Linked DNA regions of Xenopus tropicalis. The protein of the gene in region 3 interacts with the protein of the main gene of each other region in a pairwise test. Links are inferred from orthologs where the notes say so. Each region holds a gene or a part of one and is shown on either strand. Other genes may lie near its edges. The genes, in order: eva1b, serpine1 and sgta.

The links.
Region 1: the proteins of sgta (region 3) and eva1b interact in binary tests that used the Homo sapiens proteins (3 or more experiments, as listed by UniProt). The two-hybrid records come from large-scale screens. The link is inferred for Xenopus tropicalis from reciprocal best matches to the Homo sapiens genes SGTA and EVA1B.
Region 2: the proteins of sgta (region 3) and serpine1 interact in binary tests that used the Homo sapiens proteins (3 or more experiments, as listed by UniProt). The two-hybrid records come from large-scale screens. The link is inferred for Xenopus tropicalis from reciprocal best matches to the Homo sapiens genes SGTA and SERPINE1.

The regions. Positions count from the first base shown.
Region 1 is NC_030678.2:85,067,884-85,071,640, reverse strand, and holds the start of eva1b (eva-1 homolog B), read right to left. Parts: upstream 2,421-3,757; 5' UTR 2,267-2,420; intron 1-2,266.
Region 2 is NC_030679.2:143,401,181-143,404,937, reverse strand, and holds the start of serpine1 (plasminogen activator inhibitor 1), read right to left. Parts: upstream 2,205-3,757; 5' UTR 2,108-2,204; coding exon 2,091-2,107; intron 1,184-2,090; coding exon 939-1,183; intron 755-938; coding exon 509-754; intron 1-508. UniProt on the Homo sapiens protein: Serine protease inhibitor. Inhibits TMPRSS7. Is a primary inhibitor of tissue-type plasminogen activator (PLAT) and urokinase-type plasminogen activator (PLAU).
Region 3 is NC_030677.2:99,263,031-99,266,650, forward strand, and holds part of sgta (small glutamine-rich tetratricopeptide repeat-containing protein alpha), read left to right. Parts: intron 1-271; coding exon 272-371; intron 372-1,006; coding exon 1,007-1,111; intron 1,112-1,189; coding exon 1,190-1,328; intron 1,329-1,406; coding exon 1,407-1,469; intron 1,470-2,703; coding exon 2,704-2,741; intron 2,742-3,620. UniProt on the Homo sapiens protein: Co-chaperone that binds misfolded and hydrophobic patches-containing client proteins in the cytosol. Mediates their targeting to the endoplasmic reticulum but also regulates their sorting to the proteasome when targeting fails.

The DNA.
Region 1 (3,757 bases), on a different chromosome or scaffold from region 3:
CTGCTCCATATGGTAGCACAATACTTTACTGTATTGCATGATACTGCAGCACAACTGGCCTGGCTGTACACTGGCTTGAATAACAGGGTTCTTTCACCATGTGCCTTCAGAGACAGAACTCGTGTAGAAGTGGACCTCAAGAAATTCCTTCTGTGACTATCCATTTCACTGTGTAAGGATTTGTTAAGGTAAGCTTCTGCACTTTTCTGATTCCAGTTTTAGTCAGGCACGTGTATGTATGAATGTATGTATGTATGTTTGTATAACTTATGTGAAACAACAAAGCATTTGTAAGGAGGAACACTGAAACACCTAATACCACACTGTGCCACCTTACAAATGGAACAAAATGATAGAGTTCTACACCGTACAATATATTTTAAAACAAAAATATAATGATACATGGCAGATTTCCAACTGGTTGACTTGTCTAGAAATCCTGTAATCTATATGATGGTATGACTGTATGATGCCTTAATCTCATTATTTCCAATAAAGCAATAGTGGCTACATCAGACCACATACAATTCTCCAAATAACTACACAGTGTAGTTCACCTTATCAAAAAAGTTTTGTTTTTTTTTAAAGAAAAAAACTCCAGCTCACGCATGCTTTAATTCACTGGAAGGATATTGACTTACACATGACACCCCTTACTCATCTCATACAAGCATTAGGAACTGTGGCATCCTTTGATGATTTGACCTCCTTTGGGAGCAACCACTTCAAAACTATTTGTGAATGAGTTGATCAGCTGATCAAATGGGTGTGAAGTGCTTCCTTATGTGACAAGAGTGTCTTTTCACCCCCTGCAGCTGTCTGGAAGTCCTGGGTGGATGTATGCTGGGATGCATGCCCTGACAGCTGGGCGTCACCCTTTTCCTTTCCTGGCATAGTACAGCTGCTATCTGTCACAAACCGAGAACTGGAAGACCATAATATTGCAATGACTGAGAGGGGACAAAAACAACTCCCGCAGCCTCCCACATAGACATACCTTTTTTCAACATAAAATATTATACATACTAAATAAAATATAGAAAGAGAGAGATAGAGTGAGAGAGAGAAACAGAGAGATTATAATATATACTTTCTGAACTTGCACACTACTATATAGAAATAAGGAAAATCCCCTAGCTACCAAATCACAAGCCCCTTAAAATAGTCCTCCGTATGCTCAGGGCATATATAGTTGCATCTTGAACTACCATATTGATGGTTCGAACTGCCAGCTTGATAAAAATGAAACCTGTAACGCTGGCTTGTACAGTTCCTGAGAAGTAGCCACTGTAAGTGAACCCTATCTACTGGTGAGTTGCAGCCGCAACTAGCCACAAATAGATTTAATTATACCAAATGTGTCAGGTCACACTATCACTATGAACTAACATTCACACCGCATATAATACAATTTTTTATCCAGTCGCATAAAGTTGTAGATACAAAGTCACATGTTCCCTCAGAAAGATATCCATAAACATAAATGCACCCGAATACCACTATAAATTTGCACCACTCTACATACATTGGTTTGAATGCTGTGATATATACATGAATAAGTCTATCATTAATGTGTGTGACTAGCTGGCCTTCACATTATCCATTCAGCGCACTTCTGTTTCACAGTAATTGAGTTGAGATAAATTCCCAGATTTGCTACATACAGGTGTGGTATCCCTTATCCGGAAACCCGTTATCCAGAATTACGGAAAGGCTATCTCCCATAGACACCATTATAAGCAAATAATTCTAATTTTTTTAAATGATTTCCTTTTTCTCTGTGATAATAAAACAGTACCTTATACTTGATCCCAATTTAGATATAATTAATCCTTATTGGAGGCAAAACAAGCCTATTGGGTTTATTTAATGTTTAAATGATTTTTAGCAAACTTAAGTTATGGAGATCCAAATTATGGAAAGATCCCTTATCCAGAAAACCCCAGGTCCCGAGCATTCTGGATAACAGGTCCTATACCTGTACAGTGTGGGTCCCACATAAGCCCAGAGCAATGTGCTGTATATTTCACACAAATAAGTGTCAAGAAGGCAAACTTATGTTAAAAAATGTACTAGGGTCTTCTAACCCCTTAAGAAGGGGTTACTGGGGGAAAAAAAACTTTTTTATAATAAAGTTTTTTCTCTCAATTATATGTTTTCATTTAGGATATTCTAAAAATAAGCATATATTCCGAGAACAATTAATATAGTTATCTCAGCAGAATAGCTCCACCTCTCCACATATATTCATATATTCAGTACTCACCCTGTGAAACTTAACTGCAGGGTATCCTGGTATGGCTGCGACTGTAACGCTGGAAATCCCTTTTAGATTCCCTCTGTACAGATACTGTGTCTCTTCATGCCGGGCTCTGTTTGTGTGGCAGTGTCATTGCGATGCAGCAGCCATTGACTTTCCAGTCCGAGACGAGTATGTGTCCCAACTGCTCTGAGCGGGACTGTGAGAGTAATGAAAGCACAGCCCGCCCTCCGCCTCTATCCCGTCCCCCTCCCCTCCATCCAGATGTAGTTTAGCCATAAACTCCTGGCTGCTTACAGGAACTGAGCTAGTACAAGCCAGCTAACCGGGCTTTCCAAACCGCACAGCCTCTTCTCATTTACCTTTTCCTATCAACAGTACCACACAAACATGTAGGAACTAATGCCCTCTAACTACATGTGCTGTTCACTATACCGTCTATATTAGATTTCTACCCTTCCTTTACTAAATAGTCAGTTTTAGGCATAGCACAACAATGAGGGCTGCTTTGATAATTAATTTTATAAATTGAACCATACAAATATTTCATTAGTTGGTGGCATATTGCTGCTGTTGGACAATCAAGAATCACATTGTGACAAGAACACCAAAACATAAGGGTTTAGTTTCACTGATTTCAATGAGAGATGCTACACATCAACATCAAATGCAGACAGAAGTGTAGAGATGTGCTATGCACACAAAGCTTTTGTGCTCAACAGGAAATTAAAAAATACAATTCTAATACTATTTAGATAATTAATTTTGTAAATTGAACCATACAAATATTTTATTAGTTGGTGGCATATTGCTGCTGTTGGACAATCAAGAATCACGTTGTGACAAGAACACAGAAACATAAGGGTTTAGTTTCACTGATTTCAATGAGAGATGCTACACATCAACATCAAATGCAGACAGAAGTGTAGAGATGTGCTATGCACACAAAGCTTTTCTGCTCAACAGGAAATTAAAAAATACAATTCTACCTGATATTTGCTGTTTCAAACTATGTGCCCTAAACATTACACTGTCAGTTGTTTCACTCATCAATTAAAGGTAAAACTAACTGTGATTACATAATTAGTTATCTCATTCTTTTTATTTAGACTGGGGGATGCTACCTAGGGGGGCAATTGTATAATTTATTACTTTTATATTTATGTTTTAACCACACATGTTATGGTTTCTGCACAATAATGAGCTTTCAAGGAACATCCAAAAGTCTGCTGATTAATACTGTTTTGGCTACAAATGCCTTGTCATTAACTGTGGCGTGTCTTAAGGTTGCCAAACAAAACAAATGCATACAAATTAAGAGACGAGAGGTCAAATCTTTATTAAAACATTATTTAAGCAGTCCCCTCAACAGCACCAAACTGTGGTTTGCTGTTAATATATCAAGTAAATGCCTGACCTAACTGGCTTTCTCTTCTTTGCACAGACTGAGGGGCCCCACCGTAGGGCCATCCTGCAGACACCCAAAGCTTGATCAAA
Region 2 (3,757 bases), on a different chromosome or scaffold from region 3:
CTCAGTGCCCCCAAACCAGGGAGTTATTTTTGAATTCCTGACTTGGGGTCAAGTTTTGGTTGAATAAAAACAAGATTTCCTACCAAATAAAGCCCCTGTAAGCTGATAGGGTGCATAGAGGCCCCTAATAGCCAATCACAGCCCTTATTTGGCTCCTCCATGAACTTTTATGGTGCTTGTGTTGCTCTCCAAGTCTTTTTACATTTGACTGTGGCTCCCGAGTAAGAAAGGTTGGGGACCCCTGTGCTATAGGGTATGAAGGCGATAAGATCACTAATCAAAGAATAGTGCTGACCTGGTCCTATGAATGTTCTAATGGTCTAACTATCTACAAGGTGGTCTTGCCCAGCTATTTGTTATTTTAATATTGAAAGTAATTATATATTCCATCTCTTGACTTTGTAAATAAGGTAAACGATGAAGCAAATAAGGTTGACAGTAGAACAGTTGATTGCTAATATATACTCCAACATAAGAGATATATATAATTGGTAATAGTAATACTTACCATCTGTCTTGTTCTCTACCCATTGATTTATGATGTCCTTGGCTTGGGCCACATCAGTAAAATTGACCTGGCTGAGGTGTCGGTGGAAAGTTGCTTGAAATCTTTGGAGAAAGCCTGGGGTCAGCGACAGGTCCCGCTGTACAAAGAGACCATCTGCAATGTGTACCGGCTTGGGGTCTTCAGCAGATTTTTGCTGTCCAGAAATCTGCTCCCGAAGTTTATTTAGTGCCAAGGCCACTGCCCATTCTGCACAGGAAGGAAAGATAGTAACTTTGATTATTCTACCTCTATAGAAAATTGTTGATTGGTGTGGATGGATTACTTTGCAGGCAGATTTGCCCAGTGACACCAGTATTTTTATCTACAGGTTTTTTATATTTACTAATTGCTAATTAGGCATATTTGAGTATTGAGTGTTTGCCCACCGTACCTTTATGTCCATAATTTAGAGCTTTGCGAATCTGATCCAGTGTCGTCCCAGCTGCACCCGACTGAAGGACACTCAAGGCAGAAGTTACCCCATAAGGCGAGAAGCCCAGGTTCTTTCCCCATTGGTCTGCAAGAACCTCTTGGAACAAGCGTAACCCAAAACTTGTGCCTTTCTGAGCCACACGAGACACTCTGTTTTGGGCAGACGTGACTGATGCCAGGGAAAGTAAGACGACTATCATGCACCTGTGGAGAGGAATAAGGAGAAGTTCAAGAGAAAGTACGAGAGAGAGATCATGCACCTGTGGAGAGGAATAAGGAGAAGTTCAAGAGAAAGTACGAGAGAGAAATCATGCACCTATGGAGAGGAATAAGGAGAAGTTCAGGAGAAAGTACGAGAGAGAGATCATGCACCTATGGAGAGGAATAAGGAGAAGTTCAGGAGAAAGTACAAGATAGAGATCATGCACCTATGGAGAGGAATAAGGAGAAGTTCAAGAGAAAGTACGAGAGAGAAATCATGCACCTATGGAGAGGAATAAGGAGAAGTTCAGGAGAAAGTACGAGAGAGAGATCATGCACCTATGGAGAGGAATAAGGATAAGTTCAGGAGAAAGTACAAGATAGAGATCATGCACCTATGGAGAGGAATAAGGAGAAGTTCAGGAGAAATGCACCTATGGAGAGGAATAAGGAGAAGTTCAGGAGAAAGTACGAGAGAGAGATAATGCACCTATGGAGAGGAATAAGGAGAAGTTCAGGAGAAAGTACGAGAGAGAGATCATGCACCTATGGAGATGAATAAGGAGAAGTTCAGGAGAAAGTACGAGAGAGAGATCATGCACCTATGGAGATGAATAAGGAGAAGTTCAAGAGAAAGTACGAGAGAGAGATCATGCACCTATGGAGATGAATAAGGAGAAGTTCAAGAGAAAGTACGAGAGAGAGATCATGCACCTATGGAGAGGAATAAGGAGAAGTTCAGGAGAAAGTACGAGAGAGAGATAATGCACCTATGGAGAGGAATAAGGAGAAGTTCAGGAGAAAGTACGAGAGAGAGATCATGCACCTATGGAGAGGAATAAGGAGAAGTTCAGGAGAAAGTACGAGAGAGTAAGGCAACAATATCACTCCAAGAGATTCAAGGACTCGCCTTAAGTTGCGTGACATTTTGTCTGTTGCTCCTGGTGTTCTGTAGATGACAGCAAGGCTATTATTTCTGTGCAGCTGTTTCCCTGCAAGCTTCTGGCTGCTGTGGAATAGGCTCACACGTAGCCCTGTATTTATACTTCCTCCTACCCCTGACATCGCCGGGGTGTTTCCCAACACATGTGGAAACCACATGTTCAGTCTAGAGTGCCAAAGATGAATAATGGGATCGGCCTCTAGATTGCGACCAATGGGAGCAGAGTGCTTCTGTCTGTCTGTGCAAGTGTGAGAATGTCTGTGTGTACAAAGGCACAGCGAGCCCGCTGTCAGCCAGAGGAATTCCTTGGAAAAAATTCTGACGCTGTCCCTCTAGCCACCCCAGCCTAAGCTTGTTTCTATGGTTATAGTTTATTTAATATTTCAGGTCACTTGTCTAATACACAGAAAGCCCATTTATTTGGAGATGGGTGATAAGTTCATAGAAGTGCAAAGTTAATGTTATGACTTCATAGCAACTTAAAGTAAATAAACAGTCTAGTGTATTAAACCAGATGGGACAAAACCAGTCTATTTTTAGCTTATTGATTACAAGTTCTGCCCCCAATAAGGGGTAATTATATCTTAGTTGGGATCAAGTACAGGTACTGTTTTATTATTACAGAGAAAGGGGAATCATTTAACCATGAAATAAACCCAATAGGGCTGTTCTGCCCCAATAAGGGGTAATTATATCTTAGTTGGGATCAAGTACAGGTACTGTTTTATTATTACAGAGAAAAGGGAATCATTTAACCATTAAATAAACCCAATAGGGCTGTTCTGCCCCCAATAAGGGGTAATTATATCTTAGTTGGGATCAAGTACAGGTACTGTTTTATTATTACAGAGAAAAGGGAATCATTTAACCATGAAATAAACCCAATAGGGCTGTTCTGCCCCAATAATGGGTAATTATATCTTAGTTGGGATCAAGTACAGGTACTGTTTTATTATTACAGAGAAAAGGGAATCATTTAACCATGAAATAAACCCAATAGGGCTGTTCTGCCCCAATAAGGGGTAATTATATCTTAGTTGGGATCAAGTACAGGTACTGTTTTATTATTACAGAGAAAAGGGAATCATTTAACCATGAAAAAAACCCAATAGGGCTGTTCTGCCCCAATAAGGGGTAATTATATCTTAGTTGGGATCAAGTACAGGTACTGTTTTATTATTACAGAGAAAAGGGAATCATTTAACCATTAAATAAACCCAATAGGGCTGTTCTGCCCCCAATAAGGGGTAATTATATCTTAGTTGGGATCAAGTACAGGTACTGTTTTATTATTACAGAGAAAAGGGAATCATTTAACCATTAAATAAACCCAATAGGGCTGTTCTGCCCCAATAAGGGGTAATTATATCTTAGTTGGGATCAAGTACAGGTACTGTTTTATTATTACAGAGAAAAGGGAATCATTTAACCATGAAATAAACCCAATAGGGCTGTTCTGCCCCCAATAAGGGGTAATTATATCTTAGTTGGGATCAAGTACAGGTACTGTTTTATTATTACAGAGAAAAGGGAAATCAGTTTTAAAATTCTATATTATTTGTTTAAAATGGAGTCTATGGGAGACGGGCTTTCTGTAATTCAGAGCTTTCTGGATAATGGGTTTCCGGATAAGG
Region 3 (3,620 bases):
GAATACTGTCATGGGAAAACATGTTCTTTTTCAAAACTCATCAGTTAATAGAGCTTCTCGAGCAGAATCCTGTATTGAAATCTGTTTTTCAAAAACTTTGAAGCTGAGTTTGCAGACTCAAGGCAATTTTGATATCAATTAATAGAAAGAGAAAGAATTACTGTCATGTTATTACTTTTCTTAAACCTGTATCTGTGTTTTAATTATTGTGGCCAGAGGTAGTTTTTGGTGTATGTACCATTAGATGAGCAGAGAATCTTGTTTTTCTTAGGCAATGAGCAAATGAAATTAGAAAATTTTGAAAGTGCTATTTCCTACTACTCAAAAGCTCTTGAACTGAACCCAACAAATGCTGTGTACTACTGCAACAGGTATGTATCTACATACAAGAAATATGTGTGTGTGTATATATCTCTGCTCTTCCCACGAAGAATTAAATAGCAGGCAAGCTTAACCTTTCCCGTGCCTGCCTGTCTGCTTCTAAGGGCACTCCCTCCCCCACCATTACACATAGACAACGGAGCTGAGTTTGTCACACACCGCTGAAAGCAGAAGGGGCATTGCAGGTTTGTGACTGGGCATATTTATTCACTTGGGAGGCATTTCAATTAAAACCCGGAAGAGGGGAACAAACATGGCTGCTCCATGGGTCTCATGCTACCATAATTATGAAGCGAAAAAACTTTGCAGATTTAGGTTCTAAGGAATTTAAAGCTGATACAAATTAAAACACAACAGCAGGTGTAAAAAAAATGTTCAAGTGGCTGTCCATAACACTTTAATATTTAATTTAGAAATTTCATACATATATATATATATATATATATTAAAATGTACTGTTCTGTTCAGTAATTTGTGCCTGTTTTTGTCTTTAGTAACATTAGTAACATATTTTTGCACACAACTTTTACATAAAAGCTTCTGGTTTCATTTGTCATGTCATGTATCTGCAACAGTTGCAAAACAAGGCATTATTAATCACTATATTGCGTGTCTTTTTACACAGGGCTGCAGCTTACAGCAAACTGGGCAACTATGCTGGAGCTGTGAGGGACTGTGAAGAGGCAATTACAATTGACCCTAACTACAGCAAAGCTTATGGCAGAATGGGGTATGTTCCTGTTTAAGTTACTTTACCTTACAATTATGGAAGAAATGTTTTTAAACCATTCTTTTTTAATATTTTTAGACTGGCACTTTCAAGCTTGAATAAACATGCAGAAGCTGTAGGTTTTTACAAACAAGCCCTGATACTGGATCCAGACAATGAAACCTACAAATCAAACCTAAAGATTGCAGAACAGAAAATGAAAGAGCTGCCCAGCCCAGTGAGTATTCTTTGTTTATCCTGTGGTGGGGAGATCTGTTTTTATAAGTAATCTAACAGGATCTTTAATTTCATCTAGATGGCTGCTCCTGGAGGTTTTGATTTGGCTGGCTTGCTCAATAACCCAGGCTTTATGAGCATGGTAAGTATCCTCTTTAGTGTTTTTATCAAGATTGTATTTTCTTCTCTTAATTTGAGAATAGGGGCATAATATGGAGCTAAAATTGTCATTATATAGATGTTTTATATATTTATTATTAATTTAATTAATTTTTGTACAAAAAAATGCTTGAGATGCTTGAATATATTGGTTCACCGTCATTTTACTTTAATTGACTAGTAGTCTTATTGTGCAAAAACCAGCACCATCTAAATTGAGCAATACACAAAGATGGTGTACTAACATTTATAGAATACTTATTGTTCTAAATCAGTGCTGTCCAACTTCTGTTGTACCGAGGGCCGGAATTTTTCCGGCCTACGTGGTGGAGGGCCGATAATGGAAGCCAGTTTTGACCACTCCCCTTTTTGAAACCGCACCCACTTGAAACCACACCCATGTTATCACATGACCATACCCATATTAATGGTTGTAGTACAGCAAAAACCTGCCATACTCTGCCTGCCCTACCCTGCCTGCGTGCCATACTTTCACTGTGTGTGCCATTCTTGGCTGGTTTGTGCCAAACTTGGCCTGTGTGTGCCATACTCTGCCTGCCCTACTCTGCCTGTGTGTGCCATACTCTGCTTGCCTTATGCTGCCTGTGTGTATGGCACACACAGGCAGCCTACAGTGACACAATGCTGGCACTGCTCCTACAGTCTGCACAATAACTATATATTAAAATTTTTTATTTGCAGTACCAGCTCAGTATATGTTCTTTTTGTAGTGTGCAGGGATTATTTGTGGGTTTCTACTGCTCCTGAGGTGTGAACAGGGGAACAATGGGGGTGATTACAGCCTGAGCCTGAGGTGTCAACACTGCAGGGGGAACAATGCAGAGATTAAAAGGTGTGAACAACTCAGGGGATTACATGTTTAAACAATACAGGGGGATTACAGCCTGAATCTGAGGTGAGAACCATGCAGGGGGCCAGCTAATCTCAGTACTGATACCATTTAAAGTTTACACAAGAGTAAGCCATCAAAGCAGCCAGACAGGTGGGGGGCCACACAGAGGGGGGTCACGGGCCGCATGCGGCCCGCGGGCCGCCAGTTGGACAGCACTGTTCTAAATCATCAAGTCCAGTGTCACCAAGAACAATTGTGTACAGTGCAGATTTTCTTTTCTCTCTCCATCTGTCTGCTATAAGTCTAAAAGCCTTTGTGCATGTAGAACTTACAGCATTTTCACTATTATGTCTTTTCACTGTAGGCGTCAAATCTTATGAATAACCCCCAAGTTCAGCAACTGTAAGTTGTATTACATTAAGTCTTTACATTTTTCAGATTTAAATTGTACAGCTATAGGAAGTGTAGACAGTGAGATTCAGTACACAGCTTTTTTCTAACCACACATTTAGTAAATAGGCTCTTTATAATAGACTTGGGGCATTATTATTTTAAACAAAAACTTTATCCCCAAACAATGTAGGTCTCTATAAAAATATAATGCATAAACAAGCTCATGTGTAAAACCCTGCTTCATCTAAATAAACCATTTTCATGAAAATATACTTTTTTAGTACTATAGGCTATTGGGTACTGCTAAATAGAAAATTGTCATTTTAAAAATTAAGGGCCACCTCCTGGAATCATAGGATTCACAGTGCACACAAACAAACCAAGGCACACATACATGGTAGGCCCCATCAGCCACACTTCTTCCTGTTACAGTTAGAGCTGCATTAGTTCTGGTCATGTGATCTCTGAGGGGGCACACGGACCATCACTAAATAGTGGATCAAGGGAAAGGATGTAAAAGGGTAATATTTACTGATATATATATTCCAGTATGGCGAGTTCTTTAATAGATAACATAATGTAAACTTGTGCTGGTTTATAGTTAGTTAAGTATTAATTCTGGGGGTATAGTTTTCCTTTAAGGTTTGCCTGAAATCTGTTTTGCCAGTGAACATGACAGCCAATATGTGTGGGGTACAACTGAAGATTTGGGTTTAGGATGAGGCTACTCGGATTTTCTACTACACCAACTGAATTGAACTGATACCATTTCAGCCATGTATTAGCATATTAAAGGAGAAGGAAAGTCTAAATCACTGGGGGGTTCCAAACGTTAGGTACTCCCATTGATTGTAATAACTTACCTAAAAAGGGAGAAGAAAGAAAGAG